Linked DNA regions of Macaca mulatta. The protein of the gene in region 2 interacts with the protein of the main gene of each other region in a biochemical or structural test. Links are inferred from orthologs where the notes say so. Each region holds a gene or a part of one and is shown on either strand. Other genes may lie near its edges.

Region 1 (6,469 bases), on a different chromosome or scaffold from region 2:
AGTATAGATTTACTTTTATTCTCTTTATCTCAGTCTGTCTAAAACGACCTACTTTTCAAAGCAGAGTGAATTTTTAAAATATGGATAATTATGTTCATTTCAGTAAATGGGGTACATTTAGAGGCTAATGAAGGACAGAGATTATTTGAGGTGATTTCGTATTTCAGATGAAGCTATGTAGAGAAAAGTGGGAATGTATGCTTCATTAATTTTCCTCCCAAAAATTAATTTATAGAGTAATGTTTCTGAAATTGAAGTGCACATGTATCAGCCTTTTCTTTCAGATGTTTTAAATATTTGGGCCATAGATCAAAGGTACGAAAATCTCTGGAGAAGGGGCCTCGAATATATTGTTGACAGGATCTAAGAAAATCATAAGCAGTAATGTATAAAAAGAAAATTCAGGCTATGGCAAGGTCTCAAAAGCAGGGTTCGGGGAGTTTCTTAAAAAGAAGTTTGGATTTTTTCCAGCTACCTGAAAAATTTCTTTGGTCTTTAAATCATGCTCTATGAAGGCCTATTCTATTTAATTCCGTTTTATAATTTATTTACTGAATCCCATCTGTCAGGAGAAAACTCACAATACAATAGATACATTGCTTTGATAACGAATAATGAAAATATAAGAAAGGTATATAGTTTCCAAAAAGAAATAGAGGAAGATCATTCAAGAGAATAGATATAAAACTGGTTTAATCAGTCAATCTGAATCTTTGCCCAAATTCGATTTTTAGGAGGGCTTATGGAATCGATGGATACTGTATGAAACAAAAAAATGAAGGTAGAAATTACAAGAGTAGTCACCTAATATACAGAATTATATTAGATATGCATTCATAAATTTTGATGTTAGTCCTATTCCATTCTGAGCAGAACATTCAACTTGAATAAATTTTTTGTTTAATTTTAACAAGCCATAATTTTTCATTATTCCTAGTAGAAATGTAAAGTCACAGAAAAAAGAATTAATATTCTTCATTGTCTAATATGGTTAGACAATGAGTTTCTTTCTGAGACAGGCTGGAAGTGTAAATCATGTTCTGTAATTGACTGAGCTTCCAGGAGAGGTTAGGTTTATGCAATGTATAACTGTGCTCTGTACAGTTCTAAGTGCTGAACAAATAGCGGGGGACAAGACTGACCTCGCTGTCTCCAAGGTCACAATCTACTGGGAGAAGACACTGAACAAAAAACACATTAATAAGAGAAATCTCAGCTAAGTGCCACTGAAGATAATAGAAAGCCACTGGACTGTACTTTAGGTAAAGAATTTGAATGAAATAATTCACAGAGCTTAGAGCTCAAGATGAAGCATAAGCACAATCCATGAGCTGTGTTGGGGCAGAAGAAAAAAGGAGAAATGTGAAGAAGATTATTAAATATTTTTATGTCAGAGTTTATTTGAAAGTTATCCATTTCTCCCTGATGTCATGTTTTTAAATAAGTATATTTTATCAATTAAAATTATTTAAAATATTTTATATTCATTAAAATTATTTACATTTTCTTCCTTAGTCTAAATTAGTGTTAGCTGACTTTAAGACGTTGGGTCTAGACTAACTAATGAAAACATTAAACATGCCTCAAAAGTGATTATGATGTGAACCCCTAAATGGAACCACTTTTTATAATCGTCTGGTATTCCTCTGAGTTCATTAGGGGAGCCACGGTAATGGAGAAATTTTACTAAAATTCCTCTGACCCCCACACAAAAAAACCATTTACCCTAGTCCCAGGGACCAACTCAAAGCATGCCTGACTCCCCAGTTAAAAGTCTGATATTTGTAAAACGCAAGGTTACCCTACGTCCAAACCAGCAGTTCTCAAATTGTGGTTACTGCAACAGCAGCATCAGGAACACCTGGGACCATGTGAGGAATGGAAATTCTTGAACTGCACCACAGACTTATTGAATCAGAAAATATGGCTGTGAGTACCATTATTCTGTCTTTTAATAAGCCCTTCCAGTGATTCTGATGCATACTCAAGTTTGAGAGCCGCTGGTTCTAAACGGTCACTATCATCAGCCTTATGCTAATCAATAAAGTAAGTTTATCTACAAATTTAAAGTGAAATTCCTTTTTGATTACATAAAAGTGTAAAAATGACACAGGATCTGTTTTGAAAAATATAAAATTATTTAAGAGATTTGTGTCACAGATTTTATTTCTGGCCATATGTAACATTACATGTTCTCCAAAAAATTCAGTTAAAGTTTTTCCAAGTTTACAGCTGCCTTCGATACACTCCCCTGCAGTAGAATCCAGAGGGAAAAAAAAATGAAATTCAGTTAGCATCCCCTTGATGTACCTATGGGAGGGACACAATAAGATGGATCCACATGCACAAACTAATATACCCCTGTCATCATTCGAATGACAGCTAAGAGATTGAAACTTAGTTCCCAACTTTATCATAGGGCTGCTTTACTATACTTGATCCTTTCATACATGTAACAACCAATGATGCTGTAATTATTTCATATTTGTTAACATTTTCCCCTAAATATATTATAAATTATTTGAAGTCAAGGCCCATTTCTATACTTCTTTCTTATGCATCTTTTTATATGTCAAACAGTATCTGGCATATGGTAGATGTTGATATGATTGATTGATGCATTTTTTTTCTAAGGACCTGAACAGGACAAATTGTCTCACTGCTGGTAATTTAATTATTGTTACAATTGCAATTATAAAACAACTATTTGGTATTTTAAGTGAGATCTTAAATTTCTAAAAAATTGGTTTAAATGAGTTTGATCCAAGATTGCAGAAGTGGTATTCCAAATATTCAACACCTGGTATGGAATACAGCCATGGATGTGCCCAAAGGACTGCAGGGATATCTGCTCCACAAGGACCCTATTGCAAAGAATATTTCCCATATACATATATATGATTTTGAGGCATAATTTGAATTAATGGTTATTGTCTAGATAAATAAAATTCTAGAGTTGACTGAACAACAAGCAAAATGGTGTCTCTTGATGCATTTCCCCATTTCAGATTTTAACAAAATGCAAAACATCTGAGCCCTTGTTTTGTCTTCAGCCATAACACACACATAATACATGGGTTTCTACTCAGTTCAAGATCTTTATTCTTAGTGTTTTTTCTCCAAGTTGTCTGCAGTTCCCGTGCCAATCTGACCAGATGCTTCCGTGAGAGCCTGACTTGGTTAGCAGTTTAGAACATTCACAGACACATGCCAGCAGCAGCCTGTGTGGTGGACTAATGGGTGAACAACAGAGGAGATTAGAGAATTGGAAGAGCTGTTTGGCCAGCCCTTGAAACAGTGGTGACCGACCCACTGTGGCTCTATTTACTAGCAATAGAAGGATAACAAAGCTATTCAGTGTCTGGAGGAAACATTCCAAAACTGTGGTAATGATTTACTGAAGTGGATTTGAAAACAAAAGCAGAATACTTACTGAGCCATAGAGTTTCCCCTTCTTGTTCATGGCTAAGTAATAGTTGCTGTTAATGGCTTTGACGGCAACAACTCCGATTTCTACTGATGTTATCTCCAGGATGCCTAAAACATACAATTTGTAAAAGCTAAATAAATAATCCTAAAGCTATTTGGAAGAAAAGTAAAATCAAAAGAAACTATTGAGATTTTTTTTTTTTTTTTTTTTGGTGGTTCTAAAAACAAAAGGCTCAAAACATTGGTAAACAAACAAGCAAATCTTGTTCAATGTGTCTTAAAACCCAGCAAGTATTTCCAGCAAATATATGGAAGAAAGTAATAAGGCTTTAAAAGAATTCCCCTTCATTTTACTCTGAGCATACATAGAAAAATATTGTTTTAATTAAAATGTTTCCTTTGCTAACTCTGCATTTTCAACCCTATAAATATTGAAACAACTCCACTCAGTTTAGATTTCAAAATAAGTTATCAAAGCACATATCTGTACTATGGTATTAAATTAAATCTATAGCACATGTCAATAATATGTCAGATTACCTCAATATGTAAAAACAGTGGTAAACTATTTCTTCTTTGTAGGATCTAGATAAACTAAATCTCTTGGCTACATTTAACTGATAGATTCATTTTTGGCAAATGTGTTGACATTCTGAGATACAGAGAGACTAATCCCAACATTTACACTGTCTCTGAAATAGCAGAATCACTGCTCTGTGTTGGGGGAAAATCCATAAACATGGACTTTTAAAGTTTTTTTTTCTAGGAAAAATGGAAAATTGAGGGAAGTAGTAAGAGGTAGACAACAGCTCCTTTTCCCCTTATACACAAGTTTCTATTGCTGCATCTAAAGATAATTTTCTCGGAAAAGTTCGTAGATCACAATAGGGAAGGCAGTTTATCGTCTACCCGAAGTGCCCACCCATTTTAGTTTAAGAAGACTTAAGGAACTAAAACTACATATTTCAAAATTCTCAGCAGTTTGTTCAGGGTAGAGAAGTAGCATTGTGATTAGCATGTGGCTCCTGGAGCCAAAATACCTGGGTTCAACTCCTGGCTTTACATTTATTAGTGAATTACCACAGTAGAAGTCACTGAAGTGTCCCATGACTCAATTTTATTTGCAAAATGGGCAACATAATAGTACCTCCCTCATAATTTTGTTGTGAATATTAAATGAGATAGTACCTATAAAATGATTAGAATTTTCCTTAGTATCTTCTTAATTATCATTAGAGGGGAGTTTTTCTCCAACAGTTCCAGATTTTGGAAATTCTTCAATGGGCTTTGTAAATCCTGAGCAATACATACAAATTCCCATTGGCTTAATACATAAAATCTGAAAGTTGAGCATATTATCATTTGTCATGTATCATGAGAAACACCATCCCCAATGTTGTCTACAGATTATATGTTTTCACTCTACCCATAGAGATAGAGTGGCTTAACTTGTTCTCGAGAGATGAATACCTTCTGTCCTATTCCTTCACGGGTTAGCCTTATGGAGGCTAATAGAAATGCTTGAGTTTCCCCTGTTGCAAAGTTGACATAACCAGAGACTTTGCCAAAACTACATGTCAGAGACCCTTTTGTCCATGTATCTGTAGGAAGTCTCTGACCTAACACAGCACTCCTTTTCATCAAAAGAGGTATATCTCACTCTATTTGCAAGCCAAAACCAAGGAAAGATTGTGAAGGATAAAGGAGACATTATCTGTGGTTTTTTTACATCCATTTCCCTTATGCTGATAGTTGCCCTAAGGTATACACACACGTACAAATACACACACACACACATTTATTTGCATATTCTGAAAAATATTTTAATTCACACAATAACCCTCTAAGGATACTATTGTTGGTCTCGATTACAAATAAAAAAAAAAAAAAGGAAGATACTTAGATTATTTAACTCACACACACAGGTGGTAAGGTGCTAACGGTCAGGAATAATGGATGTTAACACTTAAGCCTCTGACTTTTAGATGCTATTGCTCGCCATCTCTGACTATGTTGCCTCTCCATCATCTCTTCCTCCTCTTTCCCATTCCTACAAGGGAATCCTGTTGTAAACCATCTGACAAAATGACTCATCAAGATAATTTTCTTTAATGACTTAATGTGCTGTTCCTCCCAAGGATGATGGCATGCCACAGAGGATAATGTCTGAATCTTAGAGAACAAAATCTAATATACTTTATTTATGTCATAAGCAGAAAATACAAAGCAGAGCAGGAGGTAGAATTCGGGGGCAAAAGATTAGGCAGTTCCTTACATTGTCTGGCTAAAAGACAAGAAAGTACTGTCAGTAAACTGCAAGATATTACCTTATGTATACTTTTGAAACTGAAAATTAATAGAACAAAGAGGAATGAAGGATGATTTTAATCAAAAAATAAACCAATATTTGAAGGTGCGTGCAACATTGTGGGATTAAACTATACTAACAGACTGAGCTATAGTAATAGTATAATATATATCTGAATTTTTGACCAATTATTTCTGAGGATGCACTGCATGTGGTATTGTAGATTATATTTAGCTTAGATACGCCTTGGTTTCTTTCTGCTTTACCTGATTAGGAGCGCAATATTCAAAGACTCAATCAACCTTTTTTTTTCCCACTCTGCCACTAGTTTAGGCAAGCTTAAAAAGGTTTAGCTATTATTTTTATATTATTATTTAGTTATTGTCTCAAAATAGAAGGAGGGAAGACATAGGTGATTTAAAATCCTTTCGAATTTTGAAAATAATTTTTGGACACAGCATATGGTCAGGTAAGTTATAATTTGATCATCTTGTGGGTATTGGACAATGACTGCACCTCTTATAAACATCTGTGAATGTAAAAGGGGAGCTCTGAAGGACTGAAGCCTAGAGAACTTCTTTACTTTTCATAAGGAATCACTCCTGTTTTTTCTGTTATTTGGTAAGGATGATCAAGTTTGCCTATCAAATTATTTTTGGAAAAGGGCTCTAGAATTTTGTTTGAGGATTGTTGGATCAGTAGCTTATAGTTCTATATGTGTATATTTTGAAG
Region 2 (7,079 bases):
CCATGGTGACCACGACCAGGCAGATGAAACGACCCCAGCTGACCATGGTTACGGTACCAATCCCCGGTCCTCTTCCATATCTCCATGTGGACGTTAATCCCATCTGCACACTTCCTCTACGGGCATGGACTGCGCGCAATGCCTTCAGCCTGTGGTGGGCTCAGGGACCGAGGCGCTGCCGCCGCTGCCTCCGCTGCTGCTGCTGCTGCTGCAGTCACTAAAGGAAAGAGATTGGCGAGTCAGGGAATCTTCCCCAATGCCAAATCACTCCAGCCCGAGTGGGATAAAACCATTTTTCAGCCTCTCAAATGTGTGCAAACAGAGTTCTTTTTCATTATCTGCTAAATCCTTCCATCCTCACCTCAGAGTCCCAGGTGATTCCACCAGACCGGTCCACAGAAATGTGTTAGGCTAATCTTTTCAAAAGCATACTTTTAAGAAACAGAGATAAAACAGTAGCTACAGGACTCAGATACGTGCAGCCACTTCAGTGAGGCAACGCGTGCTCTCTTCTACTATCCACTATCGCCTCCACCGCCCTCAATGAGCAGAAGCAACATGACCTTAGTTTCAAGGGCAACTACAAAAGCAAGTTAAAAGTGCTCGGGTTGGCATAACCAACCTCATTCCCTCCTCTTAGTCCAACTGGGCTTTAGAAAGCTAAACTGTTAGAGGCGTCTGCTCACAGCTCCGCATTTCTGCTGGGCTGGAGCTGAGCAGTCTGTCCCACCCTCACTGTAGCTCTTGGGAAGAAAGGAGACCAGCAAAATCAAAAGAATCCCAGGAAGGCTACAGATAATTCCCACCAGTTTACACTTGTCAGGATTCATTTTCAAATGGAGAAGTGTATTTCCGTCTTCCGCCAAGCAGCCACTTACGAAGAGTGAACACAACTGCAGCGCGTTCAATGCAGCTGATCCAAAAAGGATTTCGAAGCCTGAATTCCCTTCCCCTGTGACTAAATGGCAGTCCAGGGCTGCTAAATGTCTTCAACCTCTGTAGAAGGGTTAGGAAACTGAGCAGATGCAAATTCTGATGAATTATGCAGGAATTTATTAATAATGATGATGTAAATTATGTAAATTTTAGTCATAGTATGTGATTGGACCAATAACTTTCAATATGCAAACCTATTGGCTAAATTTTCAGAGTATAAGTTAGAAGAGGACACTCAGCTTACTATTCTATTCACCCATTTGATCCAAGGGAAAGAGAATTTTCCAAGAAAGCTTAATACATTCCAAGCAACTTTAAATTCACTCAGTACCCTCTGTGACTAAGGGTAGAGTCAAAATGCACAAACTTTACAGAATGATTAAAACAATCACAAGAAAGGGCACATCAATCTCAGGCTTCAGATTCTGTGAACCGCAGGAATGAACCACATTTTCTAACATTGGGGGTGGAGGGAGGCCTTTAATACAAAAATTTCTAAACTCTACATTTTTTATGTACCCACTCGATGTTTCAAGTTATGACATAGGATTTCAACACTGCTGGAGCCTCCCAAAATCTTATCATAAAAACTGCTCCTTTTAGCTTTGACTGAGGATAAAAATGGATGAGGGAAAAGAATATACCACATCATTTCCAAAGGAGGAATAAAGAAAACCTCAGCTTCAAAGATAGCACAGGTGAAACGGCATGATTCGCAGCAAAAACAAGAAATGTGTGCAGTTGTGTGTGTCCACGGTGTGTGTGCGTGCATGGTGTGTGTGTGTGCATGTGTTTTCAGATAGCTTGAAAGATTTTTCCTCCTAACTTTTCTTTCCTCTTAATCAAGAGCCTCAAAAGATAATTTCGGATCTATTTCTACACATATGTGGGAGGAAAGTACACAAACATTCTCATTGATTTACTAAGCATTTCCAGAATGCAGGGGAATTTTCTACCTCTAACACGCCTTCAGGAACAATCCTAAGTCCTCGCAGAGGTTTCGCCCCAGGCTCCTTCCCCAGCCTGCTCCCCTACCTGTCCCTAACCAGAGGAGCCTCCTTGGCTCCAGGCAGAGAAAGGTGGACAGGGCTCTCCGCTGAATCTCAAGCCATTCCATCATCCTGCTAGCTTGCACTAGAAATTTGCATTTCAGCCATTTCCAGGTCCAAGCCCCACAGCAGCCCCCTCCCCAAAACTCTGGAAGGCGGGGACCTAAGGCGACAGGTCTGCACAGTTCCTCACCCAAGTGGACAAAAGTATGGTGCGACCTCCTAGGCAGGATAATTAGGTCCCCAGGCTCGGTGTTGGGAACACAGGCCCAGCATGCCGCTGGCGGCCACAATCCCGGCTTCCTGCCTTCAATACCATAATCCTTCCTGGAGTCTGAGCCCCAGTGAAAGCCCCAGCGTGTTTATTTTTCCCCTTGAAAGGGAACTCTCTTCTCAGCCTGCACGCGGGAGGAGTTGTCACCCTCCCTCTGATGGATGGCTCTTCTCGGCCGCCCGCCCCCCCCCCCCGGTCCATTTTCACCTCGGCACAAGCCTGCCCCCAAAGACAGGCAGAGTGACAAGCAGGAAGGGCTTGGCTGCGGAGTGGTCCCCATGCCAGGCCTGTGCTGGGCTCTTCAATTTACCATGACATTCCCAAAACCCCGGCCCTCCAAGAAGGCAGATCAATACAATGCCCTCCGCTTTGGGCTTCCACCTAAGGGGTGATCTGTCGACACACTGCTGGCTCGGCCACCGGGAGCACCTGGCGTTTTCTTCCTAGGTAGATTTCACATCAGGAAAGTCAACAGTGCCCGGCTCCTCCAAAGTGCAGACCCATCTCTTCGCTTAAGGCCTCCCTACTTCTCCCCAGCACTGAGTAGGAGCGGGAGCTGTCAAGGGGTCAAGTCTGGGCGGGAAATTCCTCAACAAATTGAAATCTCAAAACACACACACTGACTCAGGACCACAATGCCCTCCCAGTTTAATGCTTGCGTCCAATCAGAACTTGCGAGCAGCTTGGGGGTGCTCCTCACCACCACCCCCTTTCAGGGCAGCACTTCTTTCATTTGTTTGCCTGAAATATCCTGTTTTTCTCCCCCTTCTCGGGGCGCTAAAGAGCTCAGAGAAATCTGCATTTTAATTGACATTCCAGGGAAAGGGAGAGGGGCGCCTGATTGCTTTTCTATTCAAACTAAACAGGCTTTTCAGATGAAAATGAGTCGAGCCCGGTGGAAGATTTACAGGGATTTGGGACCAGGGGGACAATGGAGTTTTAAATGTTGATAGCGTTTCACACCAAACACATAATGGGTGCCCTGAGTTTGAAAGCAGGTTTGCCTTTAAGGGTAGGTTTTATTGTATTGGGCGAAAAGAAGGAGGGTCTGGAGAACGATCTGCAAGGGAATGGGGTGCGAGGAGAGCGACGGAGGCTGGTGCCCCCGGGCCGGCCTCCTGCGCCAGGTTCGCGGTCCGCGAGGGTCGGAGCCAGCGCCACGCAGGGCCCTCGGCTGATTTCCCCAGCGCGGCCCCGTCGCCGAAAGAATGAGCAAGAATGAGCGCGCAAGTTAGAACTCGCCTGCGCTTTCGACATCTCCCAGCCGCTGCGGCAGAGCAAGCAGACGAACTAGAAAAAGTCGGTCCAGTTCGCCCCCTAGCCCCAGGCGCGCTGCGCTCCCTCCAGCGCCGACGGCGGCTGTGGGCGAGGGGCGCCCCGGCACCGAAAACCGGGCACTGGAGCCGTCGCCTCCCCAACAGTGCCACCCTTGACCATCGCCACCCCTACGGGATGTCACCGGCCCCACCCCAGCGGCCCCCTCCCGAAAAACGAGTCTCCGTGGGGCCTGGATGGGACGGAAGTTCCCAGGACCCACGGATGGAGCACCTCAGAGATGCCCCCTGGGACCCGGCCTGCGGGGCTGTGCCACGGGCAGGCGAACCTTCGGCCAGTCTGCTCTGGGGTCGGAGAAACGTGCCCAGTCAGCGGGAATGCGCCCGCCAGGGTTTGACAGGGAGGGGGGCGTCAACGCCAGAGGCAGATGTCAGCATCTGGATGGGGGTGGCAGAGGCAGAACTTCCCGAACACCGGCCGTCAGCAGGCACCCACCTCCCCCATCACCTATGCAGCCACAGAGAGAGGACACGGAGGGCCCTCCACAATGCCAGTCCTTCCGCGCCCCCCGCCCAGAGGACTGTGCACCCGGCGTCCCGGGCTCCCCTGGCGTCCACGTCCCCGACTGGGGAAGCTCCCCGAGGCGTCTTGCGCGGCGATTACCTTGAATGGCAACGCTCCTCCGCGATCTGTGTTATCCCCGCGCCCCGCGTGGGTCGGGATGGAGAAAGCGACGAGCCCGGGGTTGAGGGCAGCAACTCCAAAACGCAGAAGAGTGGTCCTTGGGTCTTCGCCGGCGCCAAGGCTCCCGGGCTTCAAGCGCACCCCAGGCTGCGGAGGAGCGCGGGCATGACGCCCGCGGGCTGCCCTCGGATTTGGGGAAGGAGAGAAAGAAAGGACTCAGGCTTGGCGTCGCCTCCACCAAACTTTGCTCTCGAGTTGCGAAGGCTCAGAGCGCGCAGGCAAGCTGCGGCCTCGGGGCCCCCGGGGCTCGCGGCCGGCCCCCGCCAGCCCGGAGAGCAGTCGCCGCGCCGGGCCAGGTACGCCGCATGCAGCCCCGCGGCGCCCGAGCTTTGTGGCGGCCGCGCGCGCTCGCTCGCCCGCTCCGCACCCGCCGCCCGCCCGCTCGGCTCTCCACCGCGCTCTCCTGCCGCCGCCGCCCGCGCCGCCGCCGCCGCCTCCGCCTCCTCGCGGCGGGTCACGCCCCCGCTGAAACCCGAGCCGTTTCCTGGACGGCGGCGCCCTCTCTGCCAATCAGCGCCGCGCGCCCGGGCCGCCCCGAGCCCCGCGCGGCTCCCGACGCCTCCGAGCTGCCGGAGACACCGGCCGGGGAGGCGAGGGCCCGGCCGCGATCCGGCCGTAGGGATGCAGCGACAGCCTCCGAATAAGGCCTGGTCCCGCGCCCCGCGCCACCTCCTCCCTCCTCCCCGGGCGAGCGAGGCTGGCCAGCGGCTCGCTGAGCGGCTGCGTTACGTTGTTTTATGTCAAGTTAGAAAACAAGTGACCAAAGGCTCTAACCCTGCCCTCCCCGTAAAGAGACTTTAAAATGCGCCTTCTTGGTACTGCGGGGAGGGTTGTCAGGCAACTGAAGCTTTTGGAGGAGAGAAAGCAACTTGGAAATGTTCGCAGGACATTGCATTTTTCTGTCCTTCTAAACAATAGAAATGAGAGGAAAAAACTGAATATTAATGGAGGACCTAGTATGTGAGGGTCACACTACATAGGTGATTCTATTTCGTCTCCCCAACCACCCTGCAGAGTACTATTCCCAGTTTCTGATAAGGAAACTAAGGATCAGAGAGGTTAAGTAATTTGCCTAGGATCACACAGCTGGCTACTAGGAGAGCCTGACCTTGAATGTGGCTCTCTCAGAAAAAGTCAAAAATTGCATCCAAAAAAAAAAGTGTTTAGTATATATGTTTGGATTAATAAAACGAAATTCAAAGGAGTCTAAAGACTCTACCATAAATAGCTGGACCTTGAACAAAGTAATTCCTCCCTCTGAATCTTAGATTCAAAATCATAAATGCAAAATCTGATTCTTCAACTGCACGCCAAGCTGTAACTGGTTAAAGTTCCTATTTCCATTCACCTTTTCACTAAGCCATGTCTTCAGAATAATTTATTTTAAATATGCTTTTTCTCCCTCCTTATTCATCCAGCTCCTGAGCAGTTGTGCTTAAGTTCAAGACATATAGATTAAAACCTTAATTATTTTTCTTTAGAAAAGGTCACTAAACCCAGAAATGCTTTAGAATCCTTTTGAGGCCTAAAGATAGATGAAGCATTGAGAACAAACCTGACTTGGAAAACAGACTTTTCCTGCATTTAGAAACGTATTTGCACCTGTGTCACTAACATTGCACACTTCATAACATTTACAAAAATATTTTTCAAGGTACCACATGATTAGAAAATCATTTTTATTCACAATATAGCACAGAAAACGTTTATACAAGTTACTTAAAAGCCATACAAGTAAGAAATCCATTTAACTGTCTCAGGCAAAAGGCTATAACATTATATTTTGGAAGTTTGATAGCAACAAAATAAAAACTGGTTCTTAAGTAAAATTATCCCTCTATATGCTTGGTAGGAGGGTATGTTTTTGGTCAAGTCCTCTAACCTGGATTAGCCCAGAGCCTGTACATTAACAGACACCTCAGCCCAGGTGACGCTTAGCCATTCACTCCCACCTGGGTTCCTCTGATAGCAGTATGTTTCAAGTTCTCAGAAAAGGGATGCAGCTGAACGCGTCTGCCTGCTCGCAGGCTGCCACTTACATCTTTATATTCCCCGCCAATGGGACACTCGAGTGTCTCAGGACAGATTCCATCCTGCACCGCATCCATCAGCCATTGAAAATGCTGTTAACACATTCTCACATAAATTAATGGTGCAGGAAGCCTCTGTCCCTATCCTCCATTCATCAATAGCTTTATGCATGTTGAGTGGAAAGGAAGCTTTCCACTGAAAATGACAAATAAGAACACCTACTTTAATGTCCAGGCACAGTTTGCAGAATGTATTTTTTATAGAGATGAAAAGACACCAATCTGTCAAAAGCTCCTTATTCCCTAAAGAGTGCTCATTTCTAAGGGACTGAAACCCACAAGTCCACAATAGCAAACTCTTCGGTTTTGAGGGAAAAAAAAAAAAAAAAGCATGTTTAGAATTATTTTCAAAAAATAATTCTGTCCCCATATTTAGTCTTCAAGTGACCTCAGACCGTCCGGGAAAACCTTCACACCAGTGAGGCTTCTGAATGAGAAAATAATCTCTTTACAGTTTTTTTTCTTTTCTCTTCCCTCTTCAAGTGGCTGGAACCCCTTTCGTCAATGGCCTCCCATGAATGGTGTTGCTAATAAAGCCTATTAATGAGCTTCCACGGCAGAGTGTGAATAGGTAAATAAGCCCCAATCTGTTGAGGTTCTGGGGCAAGGGCAGAAAAGCCAGTAAGAACTAAAGGTGACAGTTTGAACTGAACTGCGAACGCCAGCACCAGGTTTCAGCTGAAAGACCCGCCAGACAAGGACACATTCACA

The links. The genes of interacting proteins can lie anywhere in the genome.
Region 1: the proteins of FGFR2 (region 2) and FGF10 are reported together in a solved structure, tested with the Homo sapiens proteins (3 studies listed by BioGRID and IntAct, with this or other methods). The link is inferred for Macaca mulatta from reciprocal best matches to the Homo sapiens genes FGFR2 and FGF10.

Annotation. Positions count from the first base shown.
Region 1 is NC_133411.1:45,618,966-45,625,434, forward strand, and holds part of FGF10 (fibroblast growth factor 10 precursor), read right to left. Parts: intron 3,538-6,469; coding exon 3,434-3,537; intron 1-3,433. UniProt on the Homo sapiens protein: Plays an important role in the regulation of embryonic development, cell proliferation and cell differentiation. Required for normal branching morphogenesis. May play a role in wound healing.
Region 2 is NC_133414.1:133,685,066-133,692,144, forward strand, and holds the start of FGFR2 (fibroblast growth factor receptor 2), read right to left. Parts: upstream 4,681-7,079; 5' UTR 4,198-4,680; intron 2,800-4,197; exon of another isoform or gene 2,689-2,799; intron 1,028-2,688; exon of another isoform or gene 879-1,027; intron 218-878; 5' UTR 104-217; coding exon 1-103. UniProt on the Homo sapiens protein: Tyrosine-protein kinase that acts as a cell-surface receptor for fibroblast growth factors and plays an essential role in the regulation of cell proliferation, differentiation, migration and apoptosis, and in the regulation of embryonic development.